3 linked regions of the Pelodiscus sinensis genome follow. The main gene of each other region encodes a partner of the protein of the gene in region 3 in a complex. Links are inferred from orthologs where the notes say so. Each region holds a gene or a part of one and is shown on either strand. Other genes may lie near its edges.

What was found.
Region 1: EIF3I (region 3) and EIF3D share a complex: the UniProt entries of both Homo sapiens proteins name them as parts of the eukaryotic translation initiation factor 3 (eIF-3) complex. The link is inferred for Pelodiscus sinensis from reciprocal best matches to the Homo sapiens genes EIF3I and EIF3D.
Region 2: EIF3I (region 3) and EIF3L share a complex: the UniProt entries of both Homo sapiens proteins name them as parts of the eukaryotic translation initiation factor 3 (eIF-3) complex. The link is inferred for Pelodiscus sinensis from reciprocal best matches to the Homo sapiens genes EIF3I and EIF3L.

Annotation. Positions count from the first base shown.
Region 1 is NC_134711.1:93,331,362-93,335,107, forward strand, and holds the start of EIF3D (eukaryotic translation initiation factor 3 subunit D), read left to right. Parts: upstream 1-1,380; 5' UTR 1,381-1,534; intron 1,535-2,472; 5' UTR 2,473-2,483; coding exon 2,484-2,606; intron 2,607-3,017; coding exon 3,018-3,063; intron 3,064-3,746. UniProt on the Homo sapiens protein: mRNA cap-binding component of the eukaryotic translation initiation factor 3 (eIF-3) complex, a complex required for several steps in the initiation of protein synthesis of a specialized repertoire of mRNAs.
Region 2 is NC_134711.1:92,209,168-92,212,913, reverse strand, and holds the start of EIF3L (eukaryotic translation initiation factor 3 subunit L), read left to right. Parts: upstream 1-1,264; 5' UTR 1,265-1,380; coding exon 1,381-1,413; intron 1,414-1,574; coding exon 1,575-1,623; intron 1,624-3,746. Other genes in the region: ANKRD54 (ankyrin repeat domain-containing protein 54), read right to left, coding at 1-111. UniProt on the Homo sapiens protein: Component of the eukaryotic translation initiation factor 3 (eIF-3) complex, which is required for several steps in the initiation of protein synthesis.
Region 3 is NC_134735.1:3,624,129-3,627,874, forward strand, and holds the start of EIF3I (eukaryotic translation initiation factor 3 subunit I), read left to right. Parts: upstream 1-1,112; 5' UTR 1,113-1,157; coding exon 1,158-1,160; intron 1,161-2,442; coding exon 2,443-2,535; intron 2,536-3,647; coding exon 3,648-3,735; intron 3,736-3,746. Other genes in the region: TMEM234 (transmembrane protein 234), read right to left, coding at 1,032-1,044. UniProt on the Homo sapiens protein: Component of the eukaryotic translation initiation factor 3 (eIF-3) complex, which is required for several steps in the initiation of protein synthesis.

The DNA.
Region 1 (3,746 bases), on a different chromosome or scaffold from region 3:
CATTAGAAAAAATAATCCCAACTATACAGACAAAATGGAGGGAATCGAAATTATCCTTTTGGAGTCACTGTGGATAGCTCTCTGAAAATATCTTCTAAGTGCGCAGTAACAATTAAAAAAAGCTAATAATGTCAGGAACTATTATGAAAGGGATTGAAATTAAAAACAGAAAATACTATAATGCCACTATATAAATCCATAATACACCCATACTTTAGATACTGTGTGCAATTCTGATCACATCTCAAAAAAGATATATTACAATTTAAAAAGGTGCAAACAAGGGCAATCAAAAGTATTAAAAATATGGAACAGTTTCCATAGGAGAGATTTTTAAAGTGAGGACTGTTTTACTGAGAAAAGGCAACTAAGGTGGGAAATGATAGAGATCTATATCATGAGTGCTGTGAAAAAATTCAGGAAGGAAGTGTTATTTACCCCTCAGACAGCACAACTAGGGTACAAAAATAATAGGCAACAGGTTTTTAAAAAAAAACAGGAAAGTACTTCACCCAAGGCACAGTCAACCTGTGGAACAGGAAGTTGTGAAGGCCAAAATTACAACTAGGTTAAAAAAAATATAACTAGATACGTTAATGATAGGTTCATCAATGGCTATTAGCCAAAATGGTCCAAATATCCCTAAACATCCAACTGCTTAGAGGGTGAGACTAGGCAACAAGGGATGGATCACTAGACGTTGCCCTCTTCTGTTCATTGCCTCCAAAGCACCTGACAATAGCCACTGCCAGAAGACGGACTAGTGGTCTGATCCAGTATGGCCGTTCTTACTAGGGACGTTAAATATTGATTAACTAATTGATTTCCATCGACTATTCGATTAGCGGATAAGAACTAGCGCAGGCTCCCTCTCTGAAATGTAGAACAGCCCCAGCTGGCAGCCTGGAGGAGCCCCGCTCACCCACCCCAATGAGCGAATTCCTGCGGCAGTTCACGTCCAGCCACGGCAGCCAGAGATGCGAAAAGCGCCATCCCCAGGCCCCGCCGCGGGCGCCGCGTGTAACCCAAACCCACCGCCGGGACCCGTTTGAACGGGCTCGCCCCGCACCCTGGGCTGCCGCCCCGCTTCACCCCGCAGGAGCCTCTCGGAGCGCGCTGCGGACAGGCCGGGCGCGGTTGCAGCAGCGGCCCCGAGGCACAAGGATGAGGCGGCTCCACACTCGTGGGGCCTTCGACCGGCCCTGCCCCCAACCACCCGGGTGCTCGCTTAGCCCCAGCAGCGGAGCCAGGCCCGACCCGGCCTCCTTGCGGCAGCCGGGGGGAGCGGACTTTGGTGCTTTACGGCAACTCGCTCTCCTCCCCCACTTTGGTGCTTTACGGCAACTCGCTCGCCTCCCCCACAGGGCGGAATAGCCCTGTTTTGCTTTTACGACGATGCGTCCGGGGGCGGCGCGGGGTGATGACGTGGCGGGCGGTGCGCGCCGGCGTGTAACCCTAGCTAAGGTTCTCCCGCAGCCTTCACCCCCCCCCGACCCGCATCCGCCTCCATCGGGACCCGGCTGGGCCCGCACAGGTGAGGGGCGCGCGCAGGGCTCCGGCCGGAACAGGCCCGCGCGGCCGCGCGCGCGACTTGGAGTCTGTGGGGCCCGGATCCGCCTTGGCCACGGGACGTCCAGGCCAGACACCGCCTCGCCGGGCCTGCCGGGGCGGGAGCGCGCGGCTTCTACCCTGTCTGGGCCCGGGCCCGGCTCCCCCCCTGGGCTGCTCGCCCGTCCCCTCGGCTGGCCCCTGTTTCCCAGGCGCGGCTCCCGCAGCCTCACAGCCGGGCCCTGCTGGCTCACGGCTTGTCTCCAACCTGCGGTACTCGCTGCTGCCGGATCTACACATGGCCGAGCACGTAGGCCCAGGTCCTGGAGGGTGTTTCGGAGCTTAGCACCTCCTGATTTGAGTGAGAAGGGCCTAAATCCCTTTGAGGAGCTGGGTCTTGATGACACAGGATTAGATATTTTTGGGAATAAGAATAGCTGCTTCACAGATGCTAGCTAGGACAATAAGTATAAAAATAGTAGATCCTCAAGCATAAAGGCATGGGTGTGGTCTGAAAGAAAAATCCATCTGGGAAGTAATTGTGCTATTATGCACAGTAAAGAGAGATATGAAACCTTTTTCCAGGGCTTTTTATATTGGTCACAGACAGGCACTTGTCTTGTTCAGTTTTGTCTAACAGTTCAGTTCAGGAGATTCGTACACAGGAAAGTAATTATTCTATTGCATACCGACAGTGCTGTTAGAGCTGACACCTTCACCTTTTCCTTAACCCCAGAAATTCTGGGAAATGATCCTAGCCCTACGAACTTTTCTCTGTGTTTGTGGCCATTAAAAGTGGTACCACCTATTGTCTTTTGAATGGTTGTCATTGCTCATTAGTATCCAATGAAGTTTCCCAGCAGTTTTGTAGAGTTAAAATGTTCCAAACACTTGAACTACCTCCACCCCATTTTTTTTCCCAAGGATTTTAGAAGATGGCTAAATTCATGACGCCTGTGATCCAGGACAACCCCTCCGGGTGGGGTCCATGTGCTGTTCCAGAGCAGTTCAAAGATATGCCATATCAGCCCTTCAGCAAAGGGGATCGTCTGGGAAAGGTACCTGTGCTAACACTACTAAATAAATCACTGGAGTAATCAGTTAATGCCCATATGTTAGGCTACTTGGAAATTCCTGTTAGCTGTTCTTATCATATTTGCTGTCTTAGTCCTATACTGTTCCTAATAATGCCTCTACACACACATTGGTGCTCCACTCCCTATAGCTTCCTTATCCCTGTTGCAGGTGTTGTATGAACCAAGACCTCTTGATAGTGTGCATAAGCAAAGCAAGAAGTTTGAAAGAATATTGATTGTTATAAGATGATTGTAAGTGTGACTCTGGAATAGAAAGCACTGTTTGCTGTTGCTGAGTGGCTGAGTGAATTAAGAGATTGTGGAGCAAAAGAGAGTATAAGATGTTGGATGACACACGCTCAACAAGTTTGTTTCTGTTGTCTTTTTTATTAGGTTGCAGACTGGACAGGAGCCACTTACCAGGACAAGAGATACACAAGTAAGTGCTATGTTGGTGGCTGCTCTTTGCTAAGATACTTCATATGAGGTTTCTTAACCATCTTCTAAGTTTCCTGTAAACTGCATGGCCAAGCGGTCACGCATGTCCCTATTTAGCACTACACAAGGTCTCTAGGAAGGCCCTGCAGCAGCTGGGGAAGGGCCATCCCAGGCCCAGTTTAGCTTTTGTGCCAACCTGCTGGGTCTGTCCAGTCCTGAACCAGCCCCAATTATACTACAGCAGCCCACCCCACCTCCTGCTATGCCGTTGCCAGGAGAGGTGCTGTCCTACTCTCCCAGCCCAGATGCTGCTGCAAGAAGAGAGAGCCGGGAGAGTCGTCTCTCAATGAAGTAGCCCCGGAGCACCCTCCACTTTGAATCCCTCCCAAACCCAGCCAAACCTCAAGGGTCTAGATGGACCCTTATCTAGAGCCCTCACACCCCTGCACTCCAGCCTTCTGCTGAAGCCCTAAGTCCCTTTTCCCTTACTCCATCCCAGAGCCTGCACCCCCCGTCAGAGCTCTTGCACCCCAACTCTCTTTCTGTTGGTGAACAAGCCCTAAGCTGCTTATCCCCAGCCTTACCTGAGAGCCCAAACTCCCAGCCATAGTCCTAACACTCCTGCACCCCGACATTCTGCCCTGGCCTGAATCCTGTCCCACACTACCAACCCTTCAGCCCCAC
Region 2 (3,746 bases), on a different chromosome or scaffold from region 3:
CGCCCCGGGCCCGCCAGCGCCGCCGCCGCCGTCCATGCCCGCCGCCCCCGCGCGGCCTCCCAGCTTCGGGCCCGGGCGCGCTGACAGGGGGCGGGCCGAACCAGTAACCATGGTAACGAGGGCGGGCCGCCAGAGGCGGGACCAATTTCTCCAGTCACAGACTCCAGCACCAGGCCACCAATCACAACGGGGCGGGGAGAGGGGAGGAGTAAGGCGGGAGGGAAACACATACACGACAGCCAAAGGCCTCGTCCAAATAGAGGAGCGTCACCACGCAGCAGCCAATCGCAGACAGCCTGAGGATGACAGGCATTTATTTCACCCAATGAAAGAACTGGCCAATGCGAGCCAGCCGTCCCTCAGGGAAGTGGGGCTCTCGGAGAAGTAAATGAGGTTTGATCGGGGTTTAGAGAGAGGAAGGGGGGGGGGGCAACTCCCCAAACAGTCACCGCCCCCCCGCCCGGTCTCCCCAACATGCCCTGTCACCCCAGCTACACCCGCCCGCCCTGTCACCTTCACGTCTCCGTCGTCCCCCGCTACACCCGCCCACCCCGTCACCCCAACATGCCCCGTCACTCCCGGCTACACCCTCCCGCCCCAACACCCCACCTACACCCACCTGCCCGTCACTCCAATCTGGACCGTCACCCCAGTTATATCCTCCTGCCCCGTCACTCCCAGCTACACTCGCCTGTCTGTCACTCCAACCTGGACCGTTACCCCAGATGCATCCTTCCTCCGTCACCCCAGTAACACCCGCCCACCCTGTCACTCCCAGGTACACCCTCCCCCCCAAACTCCAGTTACATCCGCCCATCACCCCAACATGCCCCGTCACCGCCAGCGACACCCCCCAGCCCGTTACCCCAGTTATACCCTTCCGACCGCACCCCAACATGACCCGTCACTCCCGGCTACACCCTCCCGCCCCAACACCCCAGCTACATCCGCTCATCACCCCGTCACCCCAGCTACACCTACCTGCCCGTCACCCCAAACTGGCCCGTCGTCCCAATTATACCCGCCCGCCCCGTCACCCCAACATGCCCCGTCACTCCAGCTACACCCGCCCCGTTTCCCCAACATGCTCTGTGATTCCCAGGTACACCTGCCTGTCACCCCAAGCTGGACTGTTACCCCAGATACGTCCTTCCGCCCCGGCTACACCCGCCCGTCACCCCAACATGCTTCGTCGCCCCAGCCCCACTCGCCCGCCCAGCCGAACGCTCCCCCTGCAGCCTTAGCCAAGCCCTGAGCCCGCCTCCCGCCGCAGAAGCCCCGCCCCTCCGCCTGGTGCGGCCGCTGCTGCTTCCGGCTCGCTACCGGAAGAAGCTGCCTTCCCGGCCTGAGCCTTTCCCCTGCCGCGTGCCGAGCCCCGCCATGGCCTACCCGGCCGAGGATTACGACACCGAGGTACCCGGCTCCCCCACCCCACCCCCACCCCGGGACGTGGTGGCCCGACCGGCAGCACCCGCCGCCGGCTGCTGAGTGAGGGACCCGGGCGGGGGGAGGGCCCGTCGCGTAGCTGAGCTCTCGGGTGACGCCCCCCCCTCTGCGTCTGTTTCTCCCCCCAGGCCTCCTACGACCCCTACACGTACCCGGGTGACTATGACATGCACACAGGTGAGTCCTGCGGCGCGGCCGGGCCAGGGCGCCGCGTTTTCCCTCCCTTGCCCCAGACCCCCCCGGCCAGACCCCTTCCAGCCCGCGTGTCCCTGAGCTAGAACTAGCCAAAGAGAGGACTGTCACGTGACTGCCTATCCAGCTTGTGGGAAGGTCTCGCTCCACCCCACCTCCCCGGTTGTTTCTCTGCCTTCTTGTGTGGGGTTTGTTGGTCGGAGGCCTGGCTCTCAACCTTTCCAGAGACCTGTGTCCCTTTCAGGAGTCTGATTTGTTTTGTGCACTCCCAACAAAGGGTGTTAAATGGCAGTTGTTTGGCTAATCGTTAGTCGATACAGTTTGTATCGATTACGTGATTCGTCGATAGGGACCATTCTGCAGAACCACAGAGGGAGTAGTTAAAAGAGCTGGCCTGAGACAGGACTGAGCAGTTCTGGCTTGTGCCAGCTGTGGGAACCACCTGCACCACAGCTCTGCATTTTAAATGTAGTAAGAGCCACCAGGACTGCTTGGCCCTGGCTCGTGTTGAGTCCAGCAGCCCCTGTTCGCAGCGGCCAGCCTTCTCCACTGAGAATGGGCTGGTGGCAGAGCAGCCTCTTTTCATGGCAGACAGGGCTGGCTGCAGCCACGGGCTGCTGCCAGAGCAGCCCCTGCATGCACCCAGGCCACTGCAAACGGGCTGCTTGGTGGCAGCAGTCTCTGTCCGCAGAGGAGCCCAACTCCCCACTGGAACCCTGTGGACAAAGGCTGCTGCTGGAGCAGCCTCTGCCTGCAGTGAGCTTCATTTCCCCCCTCCCGCTGCCACTGCCTCTGATGGAGTGGGAGGCAAATGGGGTGGGGGGCAAATAGCACTGCAGAGACAGTGCTGGGGAGAATCAGCTCTTAAACTGGCTCTCCCCATTCCTGTCCCCCTGCTTTGGTGCCTCTAATAGAGGCAGCAGGGGGAGGGCGAGTAGCCGATACTCCAGGAGGGAATTTGGGTGAAGGAGGTGGTTGTAAGGATGTAAGCGACTAATTTACTATCTGATAAGCAAAAACTTATCGGATAGTTGATACATTAGTCGATTAGTCGCTCTCCCCACCCTCCCCCCTTGCTCCCTCTATCACAAAGAGGCAGCAGGCGGGAAGGGGGGAGAGGAGGAGGAGCTGTCTTAAAAGCCGGTTCCCCCCAGCTCCGTGGGTGAGGGCAGGGGCATAGTGGTGGTGTTCCAACTTTGAAATGTGCAAGAGTCCCTTCTGGGGCTCTTGTACATTTCAAAGATTGAAACACTGCGTGGAGCCTGGGACCAGTGGGGAGTCCCCCACTGACTCTGGGCTCCATGTGGGTACTTCCGCTACCCGCTAGGGCTCTTGTACATTTCAAAGTGGAGGTGCCTGCATGGAGCCCAGGGTCAGTAGGGGACTCCCAGCTGGCCCCGGGCTCCAGGTAACATTTCAATCTTTGAAATGCACAAGAGCCTCTACATTTCAAAGGTGGGTCGCTACACTAGTCCTTATCGACTAATCAAATAGTCAATGGAAATCCTATTAACTATTTGATTAGTTAATTAATCAAAATTTAACATCCGTAAGTGGCTGACCTAAGGGGGGGACTGGAGTGCATGGGTTTGGGATGTGACATAGGTTAGAAGGGGATTGTGATCTAGGGCAGGAGATTGGGGTGCCAGATCTGGGAGTGGGTATGGGTGCAGGAGGAGAGCAAAGGATTTGGGACTGTTGATTGGGGGAGCAGAGGGTTGGGGAATAAGGGGCTGGAGTGCCAGAGGCAGGCGCTGGCCAGAAGACTTACCAGCTAGTAGCCAAACCAGTCTGCCTTCCTGCAGAGCTAAGGCTTGCAGATGTTAAAACTTTTTCTGGCCAGCCACTGTGTGCCTGGCCATGTGCTTGTATGAATAACTGAGCTGAGGAGAGGGGTCATAGTTTTTCTTGGCGGGCTGTTGTTCAATAGGCGGCTCCCATTGACAAGTTTGTGGCTAGAAACCGGTCAATGTGATTGTTCTGGGGCTGAGGGCAACTCCTGAAGCTTTCCCTCCTCCACTTCAGTTTTGAAACAGAAATGGGACCCAGCGTTTCTCAGTGGTAAGCAGGGGAGCCTGCCTGGGGCTTCCCCACTGTCTCCCTGGGCC
Region 3 (3,746 bases):
AAATAACAAACAACCTTAACTGTGTTGTTACCAGCTCTAGCCCAATTATCACATTTAGCCCAGACATCACATTTGCAAACCACAAATGAATGTCAGATGCTAAAAAGCTCTGAGCTTTTATGGTGCATTATGTATTTTAGAATACTGCAGAAGACGGGACAGACCTGTTTGAATGCTGCTGACAGTGCAGGGTTTTGCAATAAACATTACTATGTCATGGTCACACAGGTTTATTACATACATTTATTTCTGCCGCAGTTCTTTTTCTGTCTATTTATTATTACAGATTATTCCAGTCTATGAAAACAGGTTCAACGGTCAGAAAACTGGGCTTGACTGCATTACTTTATGGGTCTTAATAGCAGTTTACTGTGACTCAGCCCGTACTGGCTAGAGCTGTGCTGGCACCCAGAACAACTCACTTCCTATTTCTGGCACTCCCCCAATGTCACCAGCCTGGAACCATGAATCATTTGTGCTTTCGTCCAGAACACGCGTATGGTGAGCAAAAGGAGCTGAGCAGCTTTAAAAGGCCTGGCTCCATCATGGTGCCCTTTAAAGGTGATGTCCTGAGAGGCTGCTGCCCCCGGCTCAGTGAATAAGCGGGTGTTTGTGTATAGAAGGTCAGTGAAGCGCCTTAGGTCCTCCTGTGGTCTCCAGATGGGAAACCTTGTCAATGTCATACAGTGTGTGTGTGGGGGGGGGGCTGCCCGCTCTTCCTTTAGTGAGCCCCCCCCAGGCCCCAGCACTGGGGAACCCTCCGACCAGCCTCTTCCCCTGCACCCCTGCCACTGAGGACACCCTGACTCTCACCTTCCCGCGGGGGGGGGGGGGCTGGAAATCCCCTTCCCCAGTGTCCCACCACAGGGACCGTCTAGCACCCCTCCCCCCACCCCACAAGGAGCCCCGCCCCTCCCCCCTGTGCCCCGCCCCTCCCCCTGTGCCCCGCCCCCAGCTGCAGAGACCCCGCCCCGGGGGGAGCCGCGCGCTGCCCGAGCGCCTGTCATGACTCCCGGAAGCAGGAAACTCACCCGCGGAGGCCATGCCGGCTCCGCTCCACTTCCGGCCCGGCCGCGCCCCCTGACCCGGATGTGGTTCTTCCTCCTTCCTGTTGTCACGCGGAGCTTGTGACTGGGCCGGGGCTGTGAGCGGTCGCCATGGTGAGTGCGGGGCCGAGGGGCGGCTGGGGCCGGGCAGGCCTGGTCGGGAGGAGGCGGAGTCTCGGGGGGGGGGGGAGAATTCCCCCTCCCCCCACGTCGGGTCCTGCCTCGGTCCCCCCCCCCCCCCGCTCCTTCGAGCCCGTCCCCGCAGCGTCCTGCCCCCCCCCGGAGCCCATCCCCCCCCCACACCACCACCACTCCCCCCGCCCGTCCGCTCCCCCCGCAAGCCCCCCGCCCCTCCCCGCAGCGTCCTGCCCCCCCGGAGCCCATCCCCCCCACCACTCCCCCCTCCCGTCCTCTCAGTGTCCTGCCTCTCCCGCCCCCCTCCCCGCCCCCCGCCGCCCCTCCCCGCGGCATCATGGCTCTCCCTTCTGTTTGGCTTGGAGCCCATTCCCCCGTTATGGTGGCCCCAGCGCTCTTGCCCCCCCCCCCCCCCGATCCCCTCGGCTGCCTCCTCCCCTCTTTATGGAAACACCAGCGGGGAGTTCCCAGTGTAACACCGGCACCTGCTGCCGCCCCAAGTACATTGCTGGGTCCCGGTGAGGAGCCACTAGGGGAGGGGTTCCCAACCTGGGGTACGCGTACCCCTAGGGGGTAGGAGAAGCGTGTCAAGGGGTACAGGGAATATTTGGTAAATAACTACATTATCCTAATTGAAATATTCCCTAAGTGGTCGTGTGAGTGAAAAAAGTTGGTGGATTCTAGAGTCTAGAATTTATTTCCTTTCATATTGAATAGGGGGTACGGGAAGGTTTACTAAAAGCCAAGGGGGTACAGGGACTGAAAAAGGTTGAGAACCCCTGCTCTAGGGCCTTGCTGCGCTGGGATTCCCACCCATAAGGTGAAGAAACGCTGGGGGGGTAAAGCCTTCTTATTGGGTGGGGTTAGCCACCTCCTGAAGTTGTTCCTGGCCCTACGCATCTGTGAGATGAATTCAATCCCCAGTCATCCTCGTTCCAGCCTGCTGGCGCATTGGGCCTTATTAAATGACAGGTCCCCTTCCAGGGCTACTCAGTGAAACCTAGCAGCCTGGGAAAATAAACAGCCAGTAAAGCTGCGTGGTTTGAGGACTCTGGACTCTGCTAAAGTTGAATCTTCGGGAAGATGAGGTTTTCCAATGCAGGTTTCAATGGATAAAACATTGAAATACGAGTAAATGGACTAGCTTCAGTTGTGTTTGGTGGAAACTCTATACTCATGTATTTGCACAAATCACAAAGCCCGAAGGTGTGTTTTATTTTAAAATACTGGATTTAAAAAAAAAATTCTGTCTCCTTTTTAGAAACCTATACTATTGCAAGGTCATGAGAGGTCCATTACTCAAATCAAATATAACCGAGAAGGAGACCTACTCTTTACAGTAGCTAAAGATCCTGTAAGTATTTCTGAGTCTTTGATTAACTGTTTCATGTCTCTCAAACTTAGGAGGAAGTTTAAACTGGATTCTAAAAAAGTGAAACTTCTAGCAGCCAGTTTAATATTATGGTTATGCATCATAGCCCTGTAGCTGAGGTGGTGTCAGTTTTTTGTTAACTAGTTATTACAGGCAGTCCTCGCTGTAAGTCCAAGATACATTCCAAAAAACTTGGACTTGTAGCAAAACAACTTAAAGTATGGAATTTTTTTCCCGCGGCTGACTTCCATTTGTGCAAATTGGTGGGGGTGGGGGTGGGGTTGCTCAATTTAAGAGCGGGGAATTGGAGGACTTACAACGCATCAGTTCCTACAAGTGTCAATGACTTTAGTGTGGAGTGGATGTACCAGGGCAACTTATAGCGGGTATGCCCTGTTACAGAGAGTTTGTATAAAAATTGGAAATTTAACTGTATTTTATCATCTATATAGTCTGAAAATCCCTTTCCTCCAGGGTGTTGGAGGTACTTCTCTTTCCCTATACCTGAAAAAAGTGTATTCCCATTCCGAGAAATCTTTGCTGCTTCCTGTTCAGTTCAAGGTCTAGTACAAAACCAACCTGCTTCCTCTTCAGGATGTTTCATATAGTAGTTTTCCACACCTAGCATTTCTGTCTCTCCTCAGTCTTACTTGAGCAGCATATTTTTTTTTCCTCTCCCTGTGTTCCACCTTAGGCAGTAATCCCACTCCCATTTTTAAATACTATTTCCAGGCCCCTGAAGAGAACCATCACTGCCTGCTTTTCAACATACATTCTGTTTAACTGCATTTATAAAATACCTGTTGCCATGCATTTAGTGATAGTATCTCTCAACACGAAGAGTGCACCATATTCCCTGTGACCATCCTCATTCGTTCTCCTACAATCTGACCTCTCCACCTTTTGACATTCCTGTCCTACTATCTCTAGTGATGCTGCCTGTAATGTAGGTTATAACACATGTAGTCCTACTTGTATGTGCAGTGAGATAACTTGAAATACTCAAAGATGAGACCATATGGAAGTAAATTACGTTCATTTATTTAGCAGTTTGATCAAACATGGATCCTTGACCAATTGTTTTGCATTACCAGATTGTCAATGTTTGGTACTCGGTCAATGGGGAGAGGCTTGGCACTTACAATGGCCACACGGGAGCTGTCTGGTGTGTGGATGCAGATTGTATCCTTTCA